Elephas maximus indicus: one gene and its partners. The protein of the gene in region 2 purifies or fractionates together with the protein of the main gene of each other region. This does not show direct contact. Links are inferred from orthologs where the notes say so. Each region holds a gene or a part of one and is shown on either strand. Other genes may lie near its edges. The genes, in order: ARHGEF12, GIPC1 and SH3BP4.

What was found.
Region 1: the proteins of GIPC1 (region 2) and ARHGEF12 purify together in Homo sapiens (co-immunoprecipitation; 4 studies listed by BioGRID and IntAct, with this or other methods). This does not show direct contact. The link is inferred for Elephas maximus indicus from reciprocal best matches to the Homo sapiens genes GIPC1 and ARHGEF12.
Region 3: the proteins of GIPC1 (region 2) and SH3BP4 purify together in Homo sapiens (affinity purification with mass spectrometry; 4 studies listed by BioGRID and IntAct, with this or other methods). This does not show direct contact. The link is inferred for Elephas maximus indicus from reciprocal best matches to the Homo sapiens genes GIPC1 and SH3BP4.

The regions. Positions count from the first base shown.
Region 1 is NC_064835.1:12,969,963-12,973,706, reverse strand, and holds the start of ARHGEF12 (rho guanine nucleotide exchange factor 12), read right to left. Parts: upstream 2,386-3,744; 5' UTR 2,342-2,385; coding exon 2,310-2,341; intron 1-2,309. UniProt on the Homo sapiens protein: May play a role in the regulation of RhoA GTPase by guanine nucleotide-binding alpha-12 (GNA12) and alpha-13 (GNA13). Acts as guanine nucleotide exchange factor (GEF) for RhoA GTPase and may act as GTPase-activating protein (GAP) for GNA12 and GNA13.
Region 2 is NC_064821.1:33,083,636-33,087,379, forward strand, and holds the start of GIPC1 (PDZ domain-containing protein GIPC1), read right to left. Parts: upstream 2,535-3,744; 5' UTR 2,425-2,534; intron 1-2,424. UniProt on the Homo sapiens protein: May be involved in G protein-linked signaling.
Region 3 is NC_064824.1:137,113,626-137,117,369, forward strand, and holds the start of SH3BP4 (SH3 domain-binding protein 4), read left to right. Parts: upstream 1-922; 5' UTR 923-1,074; intron 1,075-3,744. UniProt on the Homo sapiens protein: May function in transferrin receptor internalization at the plasma membrane through a cargo-specific control of clathrin-mediated endocytosis.

The DNA of each region.
Region 1 (3,744 bases), on a different chromosome or scaffold from region 2:
ACAAAACAAAGCCACACCACATACGGTACTTCAGACTTAAAAGGATCTTTTAAAAGCTACACAGCCACTGTTAATTTACCAACAGCTCTAGAATCAGCAAAATATACAATACACTGGAGTTAGACAGTGAGAAAAGAGGATGAAGTAGGTAGGGCTGAGAGGAAACGAGTGACTATTCTATGCTCATAACTTTGTGAAGGTCCCCCAGCTCAGAAATACTACGAAACCAGTATTTCCAGATTTCACCCCAACATCTGTTCAAGTCAAGGACGACTATTCTCCTCAAGAGCTTGATGTTTACAGGGTAAGATATTTACAGAATAAGAAAGGCTTAAAGAAAATGTAGTGGTCACATAAGAACGTATTTTGTTCAAAAAAAAAGCTCGTATGTTAAAAAAAATAATAATAAACCCCTGAGAAATAGGTATCCATGCTGTCTTAGCAGCGCTTATTAAATAAAGCTGGTTTTAAAAGGGTTTTGTTTTTCCTCCTAAAAATATGTAAAATCAGGCAACACCTGAACCAGTTCAAGGATATTAATACCTAAACTAATCTGCAGGTTAATCTTAGAATACTAACCTTTCGTGCCTAGCACAGTGCCTGGCTTTCAACGATTGCATACTGAATGTCTATACCCCACACCCAAATTATAAAAAGGACACAAATCTCAAGATTATAATTTCTAAAATAATGAAAATATAAAGAAAATCCTGGGAAGCAAAGTTGAAGGTCATTATTTGGATGCTTTTTTTTTTTTTTTTAGGTGATTTACGCGTGGAATAAGCTGGTGGCCCTAAATTCTGTTTCTGTAAAATTAAACACCTCTAGCATCACAATAAAAACTACAAACACATTAGTTCCTAATCAGACTTTTTGTCCACAGGCTCAACAGACCGAGCAAGAATTGAATGAAACAGGAAAACAATTACCCACAGACCCGTGAAAGTGATTTCTCAGAAGCAAAACACCCTGAAAGGAAAAAGAAATGAGGGTAACGAGAAGAAAGCACATTGAATGTGCTCTCAGAAAAATAAAAAATGATTTAACTGAAAATTAAAACCCATTTTAAAGACTATGCAACCAAAGAACGAATATAAATAGTTTAAACATTTAATGGAATCTTCTAGGTGAACATTCACATGACACTGGAAAGCACCAACAGGAAGAGGAAGTCCTTCTGTTTCTGGAGTAGCTGTTATGGTATGATAATGGAATTTGGCCCTTCTAAAAACAACAAATTAGTCTTACAATTGGGTGAAACGCTCCTATTAGGAAATTCTGCAGGACCTCTATTGTTGCACTTTCATCAAAGTGTTTTTAAAAACCTGGCCCTCTAATGCAGTTATCTGATCTATTTTGTGTGTGTGATGTAACAGTTTGAAGGTTGACTTAAAAAAAAAAAAGCTGAAATTTCAGTTCAGAATACAGTGCCATAATTAAATCGAGCATCAAAATGTGGCAAAGGAATAAATGTACTTATATCTCTTCATCTACTATTGAGAAGAGTAACTTAAGACTGATAGAGGGTCTCTTCAACCAGACACCTAGTTCAATTCACCAAACAAAGGTGCAACTTCGCTGGGTACTGTAACAAAGAATTCAACGAACCCACCTGCTGCATTTGTACTACATAAATCACCTAGGGTTTTTACAAGCCCTTAAAGGCAAATGTTTTTTTGGAAAATGAAATACTAAAATATAACAATTAAAATCAAGTCCCATGATTTTCCCTCATTTTTCCCCAGCTCCTTAATGCTGCTTCCAGCCAGAGGCTGTGATTTACTGGCAATTTTAACATTCTGGAAAATTATGAGATAATTAAATATTGTGTAAGTCAATACGTAAGAGAGATCAAATTCATAAATCACCATGCAGCAGGCTCAAGATCAAGTTCACGGATAAAAATTCCTAAAATATAGCAGTGTCTAGAGGATCATGGGACAGGAATCACACTGATGAAGCACCAATACCCAGCTGACTTTAGGCACTGACCTTCACCCAAAATGACCTTCCTCTGGTTCCAAGATGAGTACAGAATACTAAAACCCCTACAAACAGAAAACCACAATCTCGGTTTGACCTACTCCTTCTCTGGGACTCTAGAACAGTTTCTCTCCAGAAAAACGAACATTTCCAAACTCAGTCAGCCGATAACTTGGCAGCAACCCTAGGCTATTCGAACAGCTCCGCAACAACCCCCTCTCCCATGGCTGTCAACTTCTCTGGGCAAAGGCAATGGGCATCGCTGCCTCTCCTGCGGGGGCCGGCCGAGTCTAGAAGGCTAAGCGAAGGAGGAGCTTCATACCAACCTGTCGGTGATAGTAGACTGTGTGCCACTCATTGGGGCCCTTGGCGAGAGGTTCTCCTTTTATCCAACTTGCATTTTACAGTAACACCTCCACCCCACCCCCAATGCTCTGGGATCAGGCCCGACTCCGTAAGGGACACAGAAGTCCAACTCAAAACTCCATTCAGTCATCTAGAACATCCGATTGGAAAGGGTCAAGGAAAGGGGCTATGGGTTGGAGCAAAATCAGTTATCTCCCAAAACAAACCGAGAAAGTCAAGCTCGCCAGAAGGGGCGTTCTAAAGCTAGCGATAAATCCTCAAGAAGGCACAAGGAAAAAACTTCGTCGCAGTGGGAAGTCCGCGCGCCGTGGGGCAGGGGGCCCGGGGAGCCCTCCGGGACCGGGGAGGGATCAGGTCGGGATGGGTGCCGGCTCCTCCTCCGGCTCTCGGGGGCGCAGACCGCCGGCCGCGGCAGCCGGGCCCGCTCGTCTCCGCTCTACCGGGGGCTGCCGGCGGCTCCTGGCTGCAGCCTCGGCAGCGTCTCGGGCCGTCCCGCGCCAGGCTCGCGCCGCTCCATGTCCCCGGGGCGCAGGACCGCTCTCGTCCTCCTCAGCGCCCGCGCCAGGCTCCAGGAGCTGGGACGAGCCGCGCGCGGCTGCTGGGGCGGAGGGGGTCCCGCAGCCAGAGGTGACAGGGGCTCGGCTCTCTCAGCGCCGCGGGCTGCTCCCCATCCCTGTGGGCCCGGTCTCTTCCGCAATCGGCACAGGCGGCGGCGGCTCCTCCCCGACGCTCCGGTAGGCGGTGGTTCCCGCGAGGGGCGGGAGGTTCCCGTCCGGCCCGGCCTGGAAGCGCCAGCCCTGGACGCCCGCGGGCGGAGGCAACGGAGACTCCGCGCAGGGCCCGCTCGCCGGGTCCTGGGGGCCCTCGCGGGAGCGCGCGTGGGGGGCGGGGAGCACGCCGGCCGGGGGGCTGCGCGGCTGAGCGCGGGCGCGCGCGCGGGTTCCGGTTCCGGTTCTGCCTCCCCGGCCCCAGCCCCGTCCAGCGCGAGCTCTCTGTCCCCTCCCCCGCCGACTTTTTTGGCCTCCTCCCCTCTGACTTCGGGAAGCCGGCTCACTCGGGATCCCTCCGCCGCGCTCCGAGCCGTCGCGCTGCCCTCGCCGCCCCGCCAGGTCTGAGATTTCGCGCCGCCCCCGCACGGACGCCTCCGCCGGAGCCTTGTTTGGAGGAACGAAAAAGTAGTTCCACGGGGCGGAGGGAGGTGGGAACCGTCCTGCCCGCGGGAGTCCCACCCACACACCCACCGTCGCCCCCAGCGCTGCAGTCTTGCTGAAGTCTGGCGTGTAGTAACTCAGCTTTAACTACAGATCGCCAAAGAGCACTCCCACAATCCCGGGGACTTAATAGGGGCTCTTTGGAAATACCTCCCACCTTGTCCTAGAAACTTTTATTCTTTGA
Region 2 (3,744 bases):
GAATCCAACAAGATTATACATGCAGCCCACTTAACACTTTGCCTGATAACCCCTTTTAAAACCAGTTGCTGTCGAGTTGATTCTGACTCATGGCGACCCCATGTGTGTCAGAGTAAAACTGTGCTCCATCAGGTTTTTAATAGCTGATTTTTCAGAAGTAAACTGCTAGGTCTTTCTTTTGAGGTGCTTCTGGGTGGACTCGAACCTCCGACCTTTTGGTCAGCAGTTAAGCGCATGAACTGTCTGTACCACCCAGGGACTCCAATATTCCATTTAAGGGAGTTATTATTATTATTATTGCCCCCTCACCCACCCTGCACGGGAACATCCCAGTCCTCTGTCTGCCAAGACCAACTCCAAGCCACCACCTCCAGGCAGCCTCCCCTGCTTGCCCCCGCCTGCTGGAACTGCCTCTGTGGCCCAGCCTCTGTGGTCCAGCAGGCTCAGGCCCATGAACTTAATTACAAGCTGCCCTGGCAAAACTCTTATCTTCCAGCCTTGGGCTGTTATTTAACTTTATGACTCTATTTTAAAACATAAACCAGATCATGTCACTCCTCTGCCTCAAACCTTAGAACGGTTCCCACCTCACGGAGGAAAAACTCCAAACTCCTTACTGTGATCCACAAAACCCTGCAGAATCAATGCTCTGGCCCTGTCTCCTCCTCCCCAATCACACTGTTCCAGGCTCGTTCCAGCATCACGGCCTTTGCCCTGGCTTTGCCCTCAGCCTAATTTTCGCAGGGCTGGCTCCTTTGTGTCATTCAGGCCTTGGTTCCATAATCACCTCCTCCGAGAGCCACCCCCCCGTGCTCCCAGTAACTCTTTATCATGTCACCCCCTTATATTTTATTCATAGCACTGACCTCGATCTGAAGGTACCTCCTTTACTTGTTAGTTTGTGGCCTGCTCCCCCCCACTAGAATGCCAGCTCCCCAAGAGCAGAGATTTTTGCCTGTCTTGTACCCTCTGTGCCATTGTAGATGGCACATAGTAGATGATCAATAAATATTTATGGAATGAATGAATGAATGTCTTATGTCCTTACTCTGCTTTCTGAGCCCCCCATTCTTAGAAGAGTGCCCCACCATGCCTACTGTGGAGTTGCTAACTGCTGCCACTTCCCTGCCTTCCCAGAGTCTCCCCTCGAACCTGAACACAGAGATAAGAAGAGCTTCAGCCCTGGCACAGAGTGGGGTGGCCCGAATTCCAGTATTCCCACCCTTTCATCCCTGGGAAGGCCGGAAACTTAGCAACCCCAGAGCCACACAGAAGCACAGTTGAGGAAGTAGGAAGTGGGGAAGGGGGTTCCTGGGAGCTCACACAGGCTGGAGGGGACACCACGCCCAGGCTCCCCCTTCCAGCAGTGTTATTGCTTTGGCAAGACGGAGGGCGGGAGACCTCTGATTCAGCCTTGAAAAACCGGCTCCTGGGTGTTTCTTGGGGAAATGCCTACTGCTCTAGTCTCGGCCCAGGCTGCCCAGGGAGCCCAGTGGGCACAAGACCCCAGCGTCCTGGCCCCCTGCCCATCTGCCCCCCATCCCCCAGATGTCACCTCTTCTCAAGACCCAGGTATTTGTATCTTCCCTTTCCAGCTCAGTGGAGAAGGCACACGAGGGCAGCTTCCTGTTCGAGTGGCTGGTGTTTAGTGACCTCTGGGTGAGGGATGAAAAGCCCAGCAGGTGTGGCTGGGTGAGGTGTATGTGGGGTGCGGGTAGGGGGGCTTGGCTGGCAGAGGAACCAGACAGGGACGCCTGAGCTATGGAGCCACAGGCCATCTGGTCTGGTGGTTGAAACCCCAGTTCTGGATTTTGAAAAGCATGGGTTCGAGTCCTAGCTCTGCCACTGACCAGCTGTGTGACCTTGGATGAGTCTCTCCACCTCTCTGGCGCTGCTGCCTCACCTCCAAAAGAAGTAGCATCACCTCCCACGAGATGTTTAGACTCCATGATACCATGGTAAATGCCTGACGCGGAAGCAATAAATGCTAGCCAGTGTGATTTCTTCATGATTAGTATCGGGACTTCTATTCTCCCCGGCTCCCCAGCCCCCCAGCCCCTGGAGGGCTGAGACACGCGGCGAGTTCCAGGGAGGTGCCAGGGCAGGGGGCAGAAATACCGACCCTGCGCCCATCCCCAGCCGGACAGGGCTGCCCAGGGGGACAGGAGTTGCGGCCTGAGACCCAGCCAGGAGGCGGAGAGGCCTTTGCCCCCTGCCCTCGACAGGAAGAGACGCACCTCGCTGGGAAGGAGCCTCAGACATCCCAGCACCGGGCCTCGAACTCCAGCGGGCTCCACGGGGCCGACCCCACCCCGCGCGCCGCATCGCTCGGTAGGCCGTATTACTTCGCGTCCACGACTCCGTGTAACCCGCGTGTCCCCGCCGGGGTCCTCGAGCGGCCGACCCTCCCCAGGGTATACTCACCTGCGACGCCGCCGCCGCCTCCGCCGCCGCCTCCTACCAGCTCGCGCCCCTCTCGGCCCTCCGCAAACTCCGGCCCGGGCCTCTGCCGCAGCCGCGGCCAGGGGGCGGGGTCCACACCGTGCGTCCGGCCAATCAGCTGCTGCGGCCCAGTGTTCGCGACCAATCCGCACCGCCGCGCGTCGGGTGGGTCCGACGAAAACATTCCAGAGGGATCCCTCCGCCTCACCCGGTTCTTCCCTACCCCCCCCCGCACCGCGGAGCAGTGGACCGTCCCGCCTGCCTGGGCCGTGCTGGGCTGTACCACCGTGGGGCTGCGGAGGGGTGGACCGTGGCTGGGCCCAGGCCAATCGCTGGGGAGGAAAAAGGCGAGCGGCCAATGGGAAGCTGGGACCCCTGGACCACGTGCTGTTTGCTGAGTGTCGGTCTGGGTTGTCCTGAGTGGTAAGCAGCAGAAAAGGGAGTTGGGGCGCTGGTCGTGGAAGTCAGGTGGACGAAGGTGAATTTCGCGGAGAGGATGAGAACTCCCAAAGTCCCGAAAAGCAGACTCTTTAGGAGGCCTGAGAGGGCGCCGAGAGCAGCCACCAATCCACTCCCCCTCCCGGCCTGCCCCTGCTCCATTCTGGCTATCCTCGGAGTGGATAAAAGGATGCATTCATTTCAGGCCTGTGTGCGTGTGCGGGGACCGAGATGAATAGGGAGGCTCCCGAGTGTCCCTGCTTCCTGGGGGTGCACAATGGACAAGGGCAATTATTCATTCATTCACTCATCAGATATTTAATGTGCTCCTGCTCCGTGCCAGGCTTTGTCTTAGCTCTGCAGACACATCACTGAATATGCTTCTCACGGAGGGAACAGCCTGTGCTGAAGGTCGGACGGGGAGATACAGCACACCTAAGGAAAGCATCTAGTACAGCCGTTGCTGTCCAGTCGATTCCAACTCATAGTGACCCTGTAGGGCTATATAGAACTTAGAACTGCCTTATAGGGTTTCCAAGGCTGTAATCTTTACGAAAGCCGACTGCTGCATCTTTCTGCCGCGGCTGGGGGGTTTGAACCGCTGACCAAGTGCTTAACCATTATCCCTCCAGGGCTCCCTGCCCAGAAACCCAGTGCTGTCGATTCGATTCCGACTCATAGCGACCCTATAGGCCAGAGTAGAACTGCCCCACAGAGTTTCCAAGGAGCACCCCCTAAGCATCTAGTTATTGAAAACAAACTTGTTGCCATGGAGTTGGTTCCGACTCATAGCGACCCTATAGGACAGAGTAGAACTGCCCCATAGAGTTTACAAGGAGCGCCTGGTGGATTTGAACTGCCGAC
Region 3 (3,744 bases), on a different chromosome or scaffold from region 2:
TTGGAAAGTTCTTGCCACAAGGAAGGGGTCCGTTCATTCACTGAGCCTCTATTGAGGGCCTACTGCGTGCCAGGCAGGCTCCAGGCGCGGAGACAGGGTGGGGCACGGCCAGGCGAAGTCAGAGCAGAGCTCTGATTATTGACGCGAAGTGTTCATTTCGTCGTCGGCTTACAGGAAGCTCGCCTTCCTTTGTAATTAATAATGAGAATGCCTTTTTCTGCATTTGCCCCACAGCCCCTCAACGCTGCCTTCCCTACAGTAGGTCCTGGATGAAGGGGTTGTAGGCAGGAGTCCCAGCACTGCGCGCTACCCGCCGCGCCCTCGCCCTGCGCTCTTGCTGTTCCTCCCAGGGGCTCCCCGAGACGGCGCGGGCAGGATAGGGCGCGAGGAGCAAGGAGCGCGGCCAGAACCGCTTGGTAACCGGGGAGCACGATTCGGGGGCCGTCCGGCTGCTCGGACCCCGAGTCCCTGGCTGGCGTCGGGAGAAGGAGGAGGAGGAAGAGAATGCAGACCGGGACAGGGGGAGACAAGGAGGCGGGAGCGTCGCGGGGTTCCGAGACTCGCGGCGCCCTGCCCCCCCGCCCCCCGCGCCCCGGTCCCGGCCGCCACCACCTCGCTCCCAGGCCCTCGGCCCCGCCCGGCATGGGGACCGTCCCCCCACATCGGCCCCACCCTCCGCCCTGCTCCGGGGACCACCTCCCACCCCGCCCCGGAGCTAAGACCTCTCCTCCCCAGGGGCCGTGCCCCCAGAAAGCCCGCCCTCCGCCCCGCCCCGGGGACCACCCCGCCCTGGGGACCACCCCGGCCCCACCCCCGCTCTCGGCTCCGCCCGGCGCGGGGGACCACCCCTTCATTGGCCCGCCCCTTCCCGGGGACCGCCCCCGGCCCCGCCCCGGCCCCGCCCCGCCCCGGGGACCACACTCTGCCGCGGAGGCGGGGGCCGAGCGCTCCGGGCATCTGGGCGGTCTCGGCCCCTCGCCGCGGCCGCCGTGCTTCCCGCGGAGCCGCGCGCCCCCACCGGGCCGAGCGCCGGGCAGCGAGCACAGCCGGAGCCGCGGGGAGCCATGCAGCCAGGTAGGCGACCCGGAGCCGGCGGTCGGGGCGGACTCGGGCGCCCCGCGCGCTCCGCGGGCCCTCGGCCGGGCGCGGGCGATCCCTGCGGACCCTCCAGCCGCGCCTGGCCTCGCCTGGCCTCGCTCGGGCTTGGGGCTTGCACACCCTGGGGGCGCCCATTTCCCCGCTGCCTGAGTTCGGGGCCCCGGGGCAGCCCCGCGCTCCCCTCGCCGCCCCGCCTTGCGCGGGTCTCCCCGAGTGGCGGGCAGGCGGGGGTCCCCGGCGCTGAGCCGCGCTCGGAGCTCCCGCGTGCGCCCGGCCGGTCCCCGCCCCATCGCCGCGTTTCTTCTCCCGGGCTCGTAGCCCTGCGGGGACGGCCCCCTAGCCGGCCGGGCGGGCCTCGGGGAGCGAATCGGGGCGCGCGTTCGGCTCACGGGGTCATGGGGGCGGCTGGGGCGCTTGGAGGAGCTGGGGCGCCCTCCTAGCGCAGCTTGGGAAGGAGGGAAGGACACGCGGTCCTGGATTAAACTTGTTGGTGACAATGCACATTTCAAGTTCTTCGGAGAACCTTTGTTTTAGGATGAAAATCAAAACTCTGGTTTCTGGCTTGGCCGTCCAGTGACCAAGCAGCCGCGAGGGGAGAGCGCGGCGGCCTCGGGTGGGGAAGGGCTGGGATAGAGGCAGGTTGTTCCGTAGGTGATGTTGACGGGTAAACCCGCGCCTCAGTGCGGTCTAGTGGTCTGTTAGGATACCAGCCTTGGAGTCCTCGCGGCTCTTGGCCCGGGGCTGGCTCTGCAGCCGGGGGGACAGGCCCGCGCATGCCCTTGCCCCTGGTGATGGGCGCCCCGAGATGCCGCGGTTGCAGGCTGGGCCGGGCTCTTTGAGCGCCGGCAAGAGTTGTGGAGCCCAAGAGGGAAAAGAGATTTATAAAGGAAACTCAAGTTTAGATTGGTGGTGTAGTGGTTAAGAGCTATGGGTGCTAACCAGAAGGTCACAGTTCAGATCCACCAGGCGCTCATTGGAAACCGTGTGGGGCATTTCTACTATGGCCTATAGGGTCACTATGGGTCGGAATCAACTCGAGGCAAAGGGTTTTGTTTTGGTTTTATTTTTTGTAAGTTAGTGCAGCGAACTGCTACTGTGTACTTTATCAGTGAGAAAGTTTGCTTAACTTTAGTTCTGATTACAAATGCAATATACTCATGGAAGCAAACGTGGACATAAAGAGAAATGTACACAGCAAAGCTGAAACCATCCCTGAGCCCACATTCCTAGTAGCCCTTAACATTTTTACAAAATCAGGACCACAGTCTTGCAAGTTTAATCATTAAAACTACAGCGCAGCCTTGTCAGGCAGCCAGCCGTTGATCCTTAAACCAGAGTAACCCCACTATGCAGCGTTCCCCACCTTCTAAACATGATGGACCCTAAGGACCAAAGTTTGGGTTGATGGGCCTGGCTACCTCCCCACGTAGAGTCTCCATCCCACCTCTGGGCCCGAGAACTTTGGCCCAGGCCCGGTGCCTCTGAACCTGCCCTGTGGTTTTGATTCCTTGCCTTATAAAAATGAAGGCAGTGGTTCTGACTCTGTTCCTCAGGCCACCACAAAAATTAATGAGTGGTTTGTAAAGCATCTGACGTCTTTGGATGGGCCAGCGGCTGTACTTTACGTGCCAGGGACCATTTTGCTGGTCCACATTGCTGTCATCATCCCATAAAAGAGCCTCTCTCCTACCTGGCCATCCTGACCAAGAACAAGACTCCAGGAATGGCTGATGGCGCCTGGACCAGAACATTCCTGGGTCCTTGGTCAGTGTAGTCTGGCCAAGGGTACATCACTCAGAAAGTGGCAGAGCCTGGAGGAGACCCAGCAACCTCGAACGGCTTGTGCGTGGGGTGGTGTAGAACAGGGTTTTCTAACAGTAAAGGGGTATTGGTGTGATACTCAGGCAGGCCCCCAGTGGCACACTGCCTGAAGTTAGTGGAATGCTGAGGCTGTGCTTATCAGAGGGAACAGTTAGTTCTGGGAGAGAGGCTCGGGAAGTGGACAGACCTGGCTTCCAAGGGATTTGTTTTATGGCTGGCTTGTTTACCAGATGAACAATGACCAGCGTGGAGGCCTGGGGACGGTGTCCTGAGAAGCTTCTGCAAGCTTTAATTTTTGTATTTCCTGTTTTCCCAAGACTCCTGTACCACCCGCTGGTGTCCTTTCAAAACCAGTAATAGCAACCAAAAGCCCCAGTTAATTTTAGCTACTGAAAGCCCAAGTAAGAAGAGCTGCCTCCCAGCCTGCCTTTTGTGTCTCCTGCAGAGAAACCAGGCTGGAAGATCAGCTTTCTGTAACAGGTCTCCTGGGCTCCAGTTCCTCACTTGATGCTTTCATTGTTTAATTGTTGCTCCCGCCAATACATCGATCCGATCAAAGTCTAGTAGCTGATCACAGCTCAGGGAGGGGCATTTGTTTCCACTTCTGCTCTGGAGAGAAAGACCTGGAAGGTGGGCTGGATAAGTTGCCTACAGAGTGTCCTTAACCCTCTGTGTTATCTGTTAATATGCTTTTAAGTTTTCTGCAAGAGGGGAGGAAGGGGCGCCTTCCTGGATTTTCTCTTTGACTGTTTGCTGAATTGATTTCTGGTTACCCACGTTGTTTCCCTCTGAGCTGTTGGAGAGATTTAGTGTTTTATTCTAATG